Linked DNA regions of Caenorhabditis elegans. The protein of the gene in region 1 interacts with the protein of each later gene in a biochemical or structural test. Each region holds a gene or a part of one and is shown in the gene's direction. Other genes may lie near its edges.

The links. Proteins that work in one complex are often made in the same cells at the same time.
Region 2: of the proteins of tlk-1 (region 1) and air-2, one has a biochemical effect on the other in vitro, tested with the Caenorhabditis elegans proteins (one study listed by BioGRID).

Annotation. Positions count from the first base shown.
Region 1 is NC_003281.10:9,696,563-9,704,719, forward strand, and holds the start of tlk-1 (Serine/threonine-protein kinase tousled-like 1), read left to right. Parts: upstream 1-3,431; coding exon 3,432-3,557; intron 3,558-8,157. UniProt on the Caenorhabditis elegans protein: Essential for appropriate transcription during embryonic development. May act during transcription elongation to activate the RNA polymerase II large subunit (ama-1) by phosphorylating the Ser-2 residues of the C-terminal domain 7-residue repeats.
Region 2 is NC_003279.8:5,935,896-5,941,159, forward strand, and holds air-2 (Aurora/IPL1-related protein kinase 2), read left to right. Parts: upstream 1-1,581; 5' UTR 1,582-1,588; coding exon 1,589-1,656; intron 1,657-1,705; coding exon 1,706-1,814; intron 1,815-1,890; coding exon 1,891-2,258; intron 2,259-2,321; coding exon 2,322-2,595; intron 2,596-2,695; coding exon 2,696-2,794; 3' UTR 2,795-2,981; downstream 2,982-5,264. Other genes in the region: B0207.6 (GPN-loop GTPase 2), read right to left, coding at 310-508, 666-773, 891-1,049. UniProt on the Caenorhabditis elegans protein: Serine/threonine-protein kinase component of the chromosomal passenger complex (CPC), a complex that acts as a key regulator of chromosome segregation and cytokinesis.

The DNA of each region.
Region 1 (8,157 bases):
GAATATCATCAGCTCGAATAGGGTCCGTTTACACTATATTACGCATTCTTAGGTATCAAATACAGTTTTAATGCACTTTAATTGTATTGCGCGTTGTTCGGTGTCAGATGCAGTTTTAATGTATGAAGTTTAATATTTATTACTTTCTTATTTGAGAAGTGAATTTTTAGTTTTAGTAATGGACTCAAAATGATCTAAAATTTCGAAATTCCACAAAAAAATCAAGAAAGATCCAACTTTCGCTTTGCGGTTCTCATTTTAAAGCGAATTCGAACAATTCGCCGAAATCTTTTTAAAAAATCGGTTTTTTAAAAGTTGGATTTTTCAATCTTTCTCTACTTTTTTTCGTTGTTTCTGATAGTGAATCTGAGACTAATTGTTTTAAAAGCAAAGTCACATGTCACACTCCTCCATTTTTAAATTTCTTCAGGGCTCACAGATAAGTAGATTTTTTTTAATGTGACGTCACACGCGTCCTTGAAATTATGGCGGCACTCGGTACTGGGTACAAAAAAGCATTCAAATATTTTTCCCGCCATTTTTCAAAATATTGGAGTCGCTTTCAAGGTCAGTCACATCTATAAAATGGGCGGAGCTAATACGTTTACATAAATTAGTTTCATTGTGTATCATTTTTTGGAATTATAGGTTTTTACAAATTTTTAAAAAGTTTCTTCCTCGAACCGTCTATAAAAGAATATACAAAAAAAAACATAGAATCGAGCAAAAAAGTTGGCATTGAGAAAAAAATAGGGTAGTAGTAGTGCATTATTCTCTGAAATCAGAGCAGTCTCTAACTTTTCCATCTCGTCTATCTGCACCGTCCGTACGGAGCATGATGTCTCTTGCCTCCTGTTGCGGTCGTCCGGTCCTGAATGGCTACTTGGATGCTGCTGCAACTCCGTCTGCGCCTATTCTTCGCTTCTTCATCTATCGTCTCTCGTTCACTTGCGCTCACTTGCTAAATGATGGCCGATTGCAATGTATAACCTTCGTTGATCATCGTCTCTTCGCTCGTCACGCTCTCTGTTTTTTGTCTCCCACTAGGCCTTTGCCTCCTACTCTCCCAATTCACATTTATACACGACACAAGATGATTTGGCGCCTTTTTTTTTCAAAAAATGTATTTTTTTTGTTTCTACGATCCATCACCCATCGCCGATACAAATTTTTTTCTATTGGAAGTGTATTATAATTTGATTGTAGTTTTAGATTCGACATGCATTTTTTGAAAAAAAAAACTTGCTTCGCTTTTTTTTTAAAAAAGAGTTTCGTTTTCACTGTTCTCTTCTTCTTTTCGAAATACTCCGTAGTTTTCCTCTCAAAAATTTTCATTCGCTAACTCTACAGTACCACAATTTCAAATCGCATAGTTTCGCGCGCGCGCAGGTCTCGCCACGAACACAGTTAGTGAAGAGTCTCATGCAAAAACAAGCACATATAGTTCATTTTGTCTACCGCCCCAAGAGTCGTTGTTTTCGATTTTTTTTGCGTCGTCTCTTCTACTTTTTCATTCCTCGATCAAAAGAGAAGAAGTGTGGGTTTCTGTGACGCAGGAGGAGATGGCATTGTTGGCCGTATGTTCCTTATGATTTGTATCGATTAGTGTGTGTATGTGTGTGAAAGCAGTCAATGAAACAACGTTGCCCTCTAGGCCCCGCCCATTTTGCCCTGTCGTTATTTATTGTCCATCGTGTTACTTTCCTAGTTAATAATCATGTTTCAGTGATGACGGAGGTTTGAATAATAGTTATTTTAAAACATTTGAATTTAACTGACGTACTTATAATTTCAAAGAGAGTAGATTTTGCGGATTGTTTGTTGAATAAATAAAAAAAATGGCCCAAAATTCTCTCAAAAATAAAAAAAAATGTTATGCACGAGAGAAAATTCGAAAAAAAGGAGCCAGATTTTTGAACATTTTTCCGTTAAAATTTTTTCAAAATTCTGTTTTTTGAGACAGTTTTAGTCAATTTGAGTGAAAAATCTCCACGAACTACTCCTAATTGAAATTTCAATTCCATTTTGTTGACAGTTAACTTTATTTTAAACGTATTATTTATTTTTCTCTTCTTTGTTTCTCAATAGTCATAAATAAAACAAATTTTTATCGGTCGGAAAAAAGTTGATAAGTGATGATTTCGATGGCTTTAGAAATGGAGTGCCAAACACGCGAAGAAAAAGATGTTCTCGTGGTCGCCCCTTCCTCCTTCCTTCCGTCGGTTTCTATCCGTTTCTCCTCATTTGTTATCATCTTTTTCAGTTAAATTTGTGAGCGCAAAGCGGCAAGAAGTTGATGTCCTTCGACACCGCGCTCTCCGTTCTTCATCTTCACCACTCTGTGCCTCTTTTTTCTATGTTTCTCTTCGTCTTACACGCTCTCTCACTCTCACCTCGCCGGGCACTACGTACAGATGGTTCTTTTTTGTCCCGTTCGCTATTTCATTTTTTGTATATTTGAAAAAATCTATTTAACGTTTTCCACAATTTAAATTGTTCTATATTTTTCTTTAAAACTTTTTGAATCACATTTTAAATTAGACTATCTTAAGTGCGGGAATTAAATTTCTATAGCAACCGTAATCGTACGTGTCATCTGAATTTCTAGTCAACTACTACGTCGTCTAAGTTTAACGTTTTTGTTTGTGCCACGATAGTCGTTGTGTGGTTCTGCCGCCTTGTTTTTTTTTGGAGGCAAAAAGATTTTTTCTAGATGGGCGATGGGAGGGCACGAGAATACAAAGGTTCTATTGCTATATGGATGATGGTCATGTGACGGAGGAAGTTTTCGCACACTTTCTCTCACATTTGAACTATTTTATACACTTACTTCGAAACATTGATTTTTTAGAACTTCTATTAAAATTATATTGAGTAGTTTCCAAAATAAAAGTGGCACTGTTTCCTATTTATTATCAATTTTTCTTTAATGTTTTACTTTTTTCGAAATTTTGAAATGACAGAGTTTCTGCGTGATGGTGGTGAACATCGGCCGCGGCCACGACCGCGACGCAGCTGCGAGCGGACCGGTTCAAACAAAAAAGTTTGTTTTATTTTGTTTTTCGCCCAGACCGCATGATTTATCATGAAAATTAAAAATTGCGTGTTTTCAATTAAAAAATATAATTTTTTTGAGCCGCTCCTCTCGCAGCTGTGTCGCGGCAGAGGTTCACACCCCACTTGCAGAAAGTCTATCATTTCAAAATATATGAAACTGTGAAAGTCCATCTGTTTGCACAATCTTTGTTTCTTTTTTGTCCTTCTTCCTCTCAAAATTGTTTAAATGATTTTTTTAACAAATTCAATTTTTTTCAGAACCTCCTCGGATCGAATCGTTAATCAAGAAAGACTCTCTTCTTGACAAATTCATCCCATTGGGTTGTGCCTATCGATCTGTCACTGACACCGTCATCGTCGTCTTCACAACAACAATGTCGATGTTGTCAATGGACGGTATCGTCGCAGGAGGCGGAAGCAGCAGTGGTGGCGGAGAACGAAGTTTCGTATTAGAGCAAAAGATGTTCAATACGGGCCCACAGAACAAAGCTTTACCAACGGTATGTTCATTTCATTGATTCACTGCCAATCTATAGTGTTAGTTGTTGACTTGAATTCTACTTTATGTGTGGTACGCGAAGGGAATCGTAAATCATTCGGTGTAGGCGTGATGACTGCACACTCACACTGTCAACCTGTGTGAACCGACACACATGGATCAGGCAATCTCTTCTTTAACCCCACAAAACACTCTTTGACACACAAATAACGCGCACGGACTGACTGCCACGACATTGCATACGCACACGGCGGAGACGCTCACTCCTCTTCCAACACATCCGCACTCACACGCACTCACATTCACTTAAACAACACAAAACGCTAACCAACCGTCGTCGAAAGCGACTCGGTGTTTGGCTTGGCCCCTGGACTGCTTTCTTCTTCTTTCTCCCCATCCCCGTCGTCGTCGGTTGTGAACAGGGCAAACGGCGACGACAATGCGGACGTCGTTGGCTAAACCAATTTTTCTCATTCGGGTCCCTCTTCTTCCGTCAATTCATAAATCTCTCTGTCAATCTCACATTAAACAGTTGCGAGAGGAAAAACCAAATTTGTAGTTTTCGGGTTATGTGTCTTTCAAATTATCGCAGCGTTAGGTTTTTTTTTTTTTTTTTTTTTTAATTTTAATTTTCAGTTCTGAACTTTTTCTTATTCCCCATCCCTCACAGATTCAGTTCACTTCTCGTCATGAACTTCTCAAGAAAACGGATAATTTAGTCATCTCAAAGCTGTCACTCGTTGAGCAATTCTTTCTTCTTTTGCATCACCTCCGAAATTGGAATTCTTGTTTTTTTCTTGGCAATTTTTGCATTGAATCTCCGTTCACTCATGGTTGCTGGCTACTTTGAAGATTCGTCATCTCGTACATTTTAAAAAGATTCCGGAACTTTCTGAGACAACTACCCAAAAATTACAACTCATGGTTTCTCTCACGTTAAAAGCTTTTCCGGATAGCAGCTGCCCCGTACACCTGTCGAGGATGATGGTGATACTGTATTATTGTCAATGACACATGGTCACAAATCATTGCTATTCACCTTGTGAGAAGGACAAAGTGGGAATTTATGGAAAGTATGTGATGATAAGAATTATGTGGGATTGTCGGCTTGATAATTTGTTGGAGAGAAGCAAAAACGAAAAAGAATGCCGATCCCGTTCCTAGTTTTCTGTATATACATTCAATACATGATAGAAACAGCGAGACGATATGATGTTGTCGTTTTCCTATTTATCTCCTCATTCTATCCCAGTCTATCGATTCTAATGTGTATCTATCGGTTTATTTGTGTTCTTTTTGCAGTGTCTCCACCCCCACCTATGATTTCTTCTTCTTTTCTATCCGCACTCTGCGTCTTTTCCATTTTCTTCTTCCTCCTCGTTCGCTGTTGCTGCATGGTTCACGAGTTTTTTTTTGAAAATGACTGCTCTTCACAACATTTATACCAGCTTTCTTGCCTAAAAGGTGTAGAAAATATAACATTAGAACTGTGTCTCTTCATCACAGAAACACACTTCTTCTCGCATTCTCTACGTCTCTTTGCACCTAGTGTACTCGTCTGCGGTCGTTTTCCTTCGTTCGTCCAATGGTTCGTTCATCGGCTTTTCTTTGTTTTTTTCTCTGTCAAACAGATGTATTCTGGAGTGAAGGAAGAGCCTGAAGATGAAAAAGAGTGCTCTTACTCGTCGCCTTAAGCAAAGTAGGGCGCCGGGCGACAACGACGTCTTTATCCATTCTCTATGCTCCGAGTGCGTATTTCGTTTCCGCTCTCATACTCGTGTGGGTCCTAAAGAGGAGGAGCCGTCGCCGAGACATCGCCTTCCTATTCAACACATTTTTTTTGCGTAGCATGGTGTAGCGATGGTGGTTGTTTGGGAGGGGCGGGAAAAGGGTCCGTCTCAGTTGCCCCTCCTGGTGTGTGTGTTTCGACCTCTTCGATTCATTTGCCTCCTCTCTTCGCCGTTTCTTTGCCTCCTCTTCGCTCCTCGTTTCCGACTTGATATATTTCGCTTTATGCGATCGTGTCGCGCGTTTTTTTTCTTTTGCAATCCATTCGGATGGTCATGGTTTTTACAAATAAAAGTTGATATTTTCCACATACAAAGTACTCTCGTCTCCTTTCTACTTCGAACCAACTAACTACCATCATCCATTGCCCGTCATCACATGTGTGTTTACCGTTATCAAACACCAAAGAGGAAGGCCGAATTGCAATATGGTTGGCTTTGCTATGTGCTGCTCCTACCACTGCTCATTTGTTTTGTCGCCCTTCCAATCGATTTGAACACCTCCTCCCCCTTTCATTTTTATTTATATCCTATATAAGGCTCTGATTGTTGGTTGTTTCGACGCACATGTGTTTTCCCTGTTGAGTATAATTAGTTGGCCGGGTGACGTATATGTGAGCCTTTCGGACATCTTCTGCTGTTTGTGTGTATGTGTGTGAAGACATTTAGCTTTTGCTGCCACTCTCAAATAACTACAAATCTGGTTCCCTTTGCTTGGGTTTTGGTTTCACTTTCTATTGGCCCCCGCTCAATACTTCTCTGTTCATGTGGTCGCATCTTGATGTCCCCACCTCGACCGACGCATGCATCGATTCAATTTTGCCTCTATCACGCGCCTACTCCGAATTTCAGCAGCCCGCTGCAACCACTACGGATAATGGCGTGTGCTTCATTGAGGTGTTGAAAGCGCAAACAGCGCTCTTGACAAAAAGGCGGTCTCCTCCTCCTTCTCGTTCCACTCTATACTCTTACTTTCTTTTCGTCTACCCTCCCGTTGCTCCTTTCCGTCTCGATTCCTCGCATGTGCGTTTTTTTTTGTTCTGTCCTCCCTCTTGTGTTGATCCGAACAATTTTCATTTTTTGTGGCGGCGATTTGCGAGAAATATGTCTCCGACTCTGGGGGATTGCATACTCTTCTTCCAACCTTTCGCTTGATGTTTTATATGTTTTATATGTATTCCTCTCCGATCCCTTGCACACCTATAAACTGTAAAACTTTTTCGAATCGATTGCAAATTGAGAAATGATATGTGATGGTGAGATGCGTAGTGCTTTTTTTGTCTTGCTTTCCATGTCATACCGACCACTGTGTTGCTTGCAGCCATCATGATGCGTCGTCTCTGGGTTAGTAGTAGCAGAGTGTGGTGAGAGAGAGAAAAGGGTTGATTTGATGGCGAGATGAGAGTATTCAACACACACGGAAATAAAAGAGGAATATGTAGAAGATGTTGAGTTGTTGGAGGCAGGCGAAACAGAGACATACACAAAACAAAATGATTATTGGACTTTGTGACTGCTCCTGCTGCTGCTCTTTTCTACCTCCACTTCTAGTTCTTCTTCTTTTTTGTCTTTTCATATTCATTTTCCTTTTCGGCTTTGTGTTTTGCTCACTTTTGTTGTTCTTGTTTCTTATTGATTGGGATAAAAATATTGATGATCACCATTAGTAAGATTACAACGTACATAAATGTGCCACCAGTCTGTCGCTTTAGTACTTCTTATCAGTTTTACGAGAGTTTTCTTTTTTTTTCAATTCGAATTTCATAGTAGAAATATGAAACTCTTTCTGCTAAATGAGAGCTAAATAAGTTCACCGGAAAAACTCTGGCGTCCGCGCCATGTCCCTTTTCACGGCTGTCGTCGTCGCCCCGGGATCTCTGATTCTCTCAACTTTTTGTGTGCTCCTTGTGTCCCTCGCCGTCTTGTGTCTCTTGTGATAGCATGTTGTTTATGCGCGCGTTGCACTCATCATCAGAGACAGATTTTAATAGATTTCGTGGCCCGCGTCCCCCCTCTATTGAGCACACTCTCCTCTACTGCTGCTTTTCTGGAGCCGTGTGTGTGTGTGTGCGTCCTCTCCTAATTTGGCATAATATCTAATCCAGGGAACTGACTGGGGGCAATGTTCTTTCTTTTTCCTCACCGCCGCCTTTTCTTTTCTTTTTCTCATCCTCTTCTTCTACTTCTTCCTTGTTTTCCCCTATCCATAGTGTTGTCATCTCCGCTGTCGTCCTCTCTACTTATTCGTCGTTTTCTTCTCCTTTTTTTTGGTTTTGCTGGGTTAGACCAGATGCAGAGTGTATGTATTTGTATGTCTCTCTCATCGCTCTCTTCGTTTTTTGTCATCTCTAGACACTACTGTCGCCTGTTCTCTTTTTCTCTATCGTCATTCGGAGCGTTCATATGTATTTTCTCCCTGTATATAATTTAAAAGTAAGCGCGTTGAGATGGGAGAATGAGATTCCGAGTGGTGGTTCGCTCACGTTTTTTAATGAATCAGGACTTGCTGTTGGTAGTGTAAAATGATTATTGAGATGAGAAAAATAAATAGATAAACTTGTGATGCTTCTTGATTGGGCACACTTCCTTGATCTATAATTTCTTTCTTGGTTCAGGAGGCAGAAATTGTCTCCAGCGAGAATCGTTTTCCGAAATTGTCATGCTGGCCTCCTGCTTTGTGATGATGACGTCATACGGTGTCCTACCAATGTGCTCGCCTTTCCTTCTTCTTCTTCTTCATCGCCTTCTTTTCTCTTTTATTTTCTCTTTGTAGAATATGTGTATTTGGGTTGTGCTCTGGTTTCTCTGTCGTCT
Region 2 (5,264 bases), on another chromosome or scaffold:
AATGAATATAATTTTAATTTGTTCCTTTCAGCCACACAAAATTTAAAGTGGTTCCGAATTTCAATTTTTTCCATCTAAAATCAAATAAATAACAAAAATAGGTTTCAGATTAAATGAAAGTTTTATGTGCCAGAAAGATATTGCATTTCTTAGCCAGAAATACATAAAGGCCCATGGAGTTTCAAAATTGTACAGAACAAAAATAAATTTTCATTTTTTGGAGGAAATCAGCTGAATTATATTTGGAAATTTCGGGTCGAGAGACAAGAAAAGTATTTCAATTTTTTTTTAATCTTAATGAACTCTTACCTAATGTGGATAATGCAACAGAAATGAATTTCGATGGGTCACTGCAGTAAAGTGAATCGGCAAGATGTAAGGCACATAGTCTAACACCGGATTTTTCCAAAAAGCGGATAACTTTCCATAGTTCGCCTTCGCTTTTGTATAGTTCCAACTGTCCGGGACAATCAATTATCAGATATTTCTTGTGATTCGCTTCGATTTTCTGAAAAAAGATTTAATTGAATATTAAAACTACAAAGAGGTTAAAAATGATTTCCGATTTTCTCGATTCAAATTTAGAGAATTCCAGATTTTAGCTCAATTGTTGTGAAAACAATTTTTAGCTTTTGAGAATTAACTTTTTCTGCCAAAAAAATTACCTGGAGGAGCCAATTACAATTAGCTCCAAGTGTTTCAATACAGTATTTGAGAGCTCCATTTGGTCCAAGTCCAAGTCGATCCATTACATCATTCACAGTGATCATTTCCTAAACTTTAGTATTTTAAATGAAAAATATGACCTTAAGTATTAAAATAACATTGATAGATGATCTGTACCACGTTTCATAATTATTGTCCTATATTCATTGGAATAAAATACTTACAGTGATATTTACATCAGGTGCGTATGCCATTGTGTCATTAGCAGGATCAAGATTGATAGTGAGAAATGGTCGTTTGGTTTGTGAGAAAATGTCCGTTAATCCTGCACAAAATGTAGATTTTCCAGCTCCAGGAGCTCCAATTACAAGAACTCCGTACATAGTCCAATGAGTACTGAAATTTTCTAGTTGAATCTTAATTTTCTACGGATTGTTTTGATAGGAAAACATTTAAGAAGAACAAAAATATATAAATACAATTTAATTTAATTTAAAACAAACAAAAAAGCAGGATAAACGGGCCTGGCACAGGGCCAAGTACGCATTTACACCGTACATGACGACATATTGCGGACCATTGCATTTTGCCGCGTTAATTTTTTATTTAAACGGCTTGCATTTCTCCTTACTATCCAGCTGACAATTTTTAGTTTCTTTAGAATTATTTGCAATCAAAACTCGTTTTTTGTAAACATATTTACTCAGGTAATGTGTTGATTTCTCACTTTTTTTTGAAATCAAAGCAGAATTAGTCCTATTTTTATTCTACATAAATATCTAAATGTATTCAATTAAAAATTGGGCCATTGAACTTCTAATTAATTCAATTTATAAATTTATCGTGATGTTTTCTTTTAGTTAATTTGTCCTTAATCGTGCCGTCTATTTTATTTCTTCATAAAAAACTTTTCAGTTCCGACATGGAGAATAAGCCACCTGTAATCAACCTTCCAGAGAAGGAAACTGTGAATACTCCACAGAAGGGAGGGTAAGAAATCAAGGTTTTAAAAGTTTATAAATTATTCTTGATTTTACAGAAAATTTACTATTAACGATTTCGAGATCGGAAGACCACTGGGAAAAGGAAAATTCGGCAGTGTTTACCTGGCTCGCACAAAAACTGGACATTTCCATGTAGCGATCAAGGTAACATATTGATTTATTTTGTATTTATTTGAATTATCATTTTTCTGACATCCGTTTTACCCATACATATTTTCAGGTTCTATTCAAATCGCAACTCATCTCAGGAGGCGTCGAGCATCAATTGGAGCGTGAAATTGAGATTCAATCTCATTTGAATCACCCGAATATTATCAAGCTCTACACATATTTTTGGGATGCGAAGAAGATCTATCTCGTTTTGGAATATGCCCCCGGAGGCGAAATGTACAAGCAATTGACAGTGAGCAAGAGATTCTCAGAGCCAACAGCTGCAAAATATATGTATGAGATCGCAGATGCTTTGTCATATTGCCACAGGAAAAATGTGATTCATCGCGACATTAAACCGGAGAATTTGCTTATCGGATCACAAGGAGAATTGAAAATTGGAGATTTTGGATGGAGTGTTCATGCTCCTTCGAATAAGTGAGTTTATCCTCAAATTTAGGAAATCTAGATGTTTCCAAAAATTCACTGTCATGTTTTCAGGCGCCAAACAATGTGCGGAACAATGGACTATCTCCCTCCTGAAATGGTGAATGGAGCCGATCACAGTGACGCAGTTGACTTATGGGCAATCGGCGTTCTCTGCTATGAGTTTCTCGTTGGAAAACCCCCATTCGAGCACGAAGATCAGTCCAAGACATATGCGGCAATCAAAGCGGCACGGTTTACTTACCCTGATTCTGTGAAGAAGGGTGCACGAGATTTGATTGGAAGATTGCTTGTCGTTGATCCCAAGGCTCGCTGTACGCTTGAACAGGTTTGTTATTGATTTCAGCTTAGTGGCCAACATATTATCAGCACACAGAAGTACACTTTTGTAGTGTTCTTAATTATCATAATTCATTAAATTATTACAGGTGAAGGAACACTACTGGATCCAGGGAATGATGGAGGCAAAAATTAGAGCTGAGAAGCAGCAAAAGATTGAAAAAGAAGCAAGTCTTCGGAATCACTGATCAACTACTGATTTTCCCGTCCTTCTTTCAATCATCTCGTCTGTCTGTCAAATAAAGGATCTCATCACATTTACTAGAAATTTTAAAAAGTGAAATAACTTGTCAACCAATTTTTCATGTAGTTTTTGTTTCGCGAACTCTATTATTCCCAATCGTCTAACCCCATTCATTCAACATAAATTTATTTTCTTTTCTCGTTCTCCATCTTTCTCAATATATCTACAACAACTCAATTAGTACCTCCCGAGATTTTCTCCTTTTTCAGATGTCGCGTAGACTCGCACTCGGAGCAGCTGCTTCTTTTCGTTGAGGTTCATTTGCATTTTTAGATTTTTGAGAAAAAAAAAAAAATAAAATTTAAAAGCGACAAGAAAATTTCGATTTTCTTTAGGATTATTTTATCACACCGTGCGACTTTATAGTCCCAAAAGGAAAAATAACAACTAAGCTTAGTACTGAGTACACTTGAAATTTCAAAACATGAGGTTTTTGAAATTCACGTGCTCCAACAATTTCAAGCACTTCTTGTGCCCTTTTTAAGTCCTCGAAAACTTATAATTTTTTCAGTAAGTGGTGCGGGGACATTTTCAAAAAGTTGTTTTTCTCAAACAAAGCATATTTCACAAGATGTCATTCTGGACAACAAAAAATTAAATTAAATTTTTAAATTACAGGGAACTTTTACCGATTAAGCGCGGGCGGTGTAATTATAGGTTTCGATGATGTGGTACTTTGGCTATAATTTAGTTATACAACTAGAATTTTCTAATTTTTTTATTTTCTTTCGAGATTTCTGAGAACACATTTTTATTTGAGAACTCATGCTAATTGCTGAACCGTTTTCTCCGATTTCTTCAAAAATCTCACATTTTTTGTCTGATTAAGAAAATTAAAGTTTCATTTTTCACTTGTGAATAACGCATCTTTTGAAATCAGAATGCAATCGCGCTCCAACGCCAAATAGAAAGACTCCGCCCCGATAATTTGGGTCTCGTTAGGTATTTGCGGAAAATACGTAAATGTATTATTTTTCCAAAATTTTCATTCAGTTTCGTTGATTTCACTCGTTTTCAATCATTTTTTCGTGAAATTTTGTTGTTCATTTTATTATAGCAAAATATAGCCAAAAATAGCCAAAAATTCGAAAATTCTATTAAACTAGGGTAATCGACGAAAATAGCCAAAAGTATGACTGGCGGAGCACTCTGATTCCAATGTTTGTGAACCTTATGATTTTTCAATTAATGAACCTGAAATTTCGACGTACTTAGCTAACTGAATAATCAATTAAAAATAGTCCAAGTAGTGACGTCTCACTTTTTTTCGAATGCGGATATTGAAAAATCAGCTGCTGCCGAATCGACAATCATCGATCTCCTAACACTCTTCTTACCTGAAACTTCTTGAGTCACGGTTATTTTCAACAAAAAATGATTTTTTTATGTGTTGGTTTCTGCGTTTATTCGTATTTGGAACTATGTAGAAGTCAAGTACGAACATGCAAAAACACGATACATAACCAAGATATGGGCGGAGTCTAATACATGCATCACACAATTGTTAGAAAAACAATTTTGATAATAAGTATTTTCTTAAAATATGCTCCTCCCATATCTTGCCTTTTTTTTTGGTGTTTCATTTTCTGAATTTTTTTGTACTTTTCTTTTTTCTCATTATACAAGATGTACGAAATAATAACTATCTTCGAGTAAATGATTATTTGAACTTTTAATTTTTATTCCTCTCTTCGTCTTCTTCTTCTTTTCTTCCTTCCGCTCCAAAGAATACTCACACCACATATCAGCATATTTTGTCGTTTTCCTTGTCTAGTTAAGACATTCATCTCGCTTTCATATTTCTCCGCTTCTTTTCATTTAACAGGTGCAATATTTTTTTTTTTCTATTAACAATAAGATTTTTTTTTCAATTTTTATTATTTCAACAAATAGGCATGTACCAACTTTGGCTGAATTGAAACTTTTAAAAGTTATTTTTCATTAAAAACTTTTTTTTAAAAAATCAATTTTTTACTTTGTTTGCCTATTCTGAACTGCCGAGAATTTTTTTATTTCCGAATAATAATTGGATTACGGTTACAAAACAGAGTTTTTATGACACGCCCGCGAAAAAAATCGAAGGTGAGTTTTCTTTCCTTGGTGTTTTTTTTTACTTTTTATATTTGCTTATTTCAAAGTCTGTAGAAATAATCCAAAGCGAAATTTATTGAAGACCATGATTTCTAGAAAAACACAATAATACTTTTTGTAGGGCAGATTTTTTGTTTTGAAATTGATTTCTACGCTGATCCATATTTGAGTAGAGGTCTATCAAAAACATTTATCACTTTAGATATCTCACTTTTCTCATAAAACTTTTTCTAAAAAATTACAATTCAATTGAAAATCAAATCACAAAAACTCAGAGTTTGGATTTTTGGTTCATACAAGTTGCAATTATTATATACATTTCC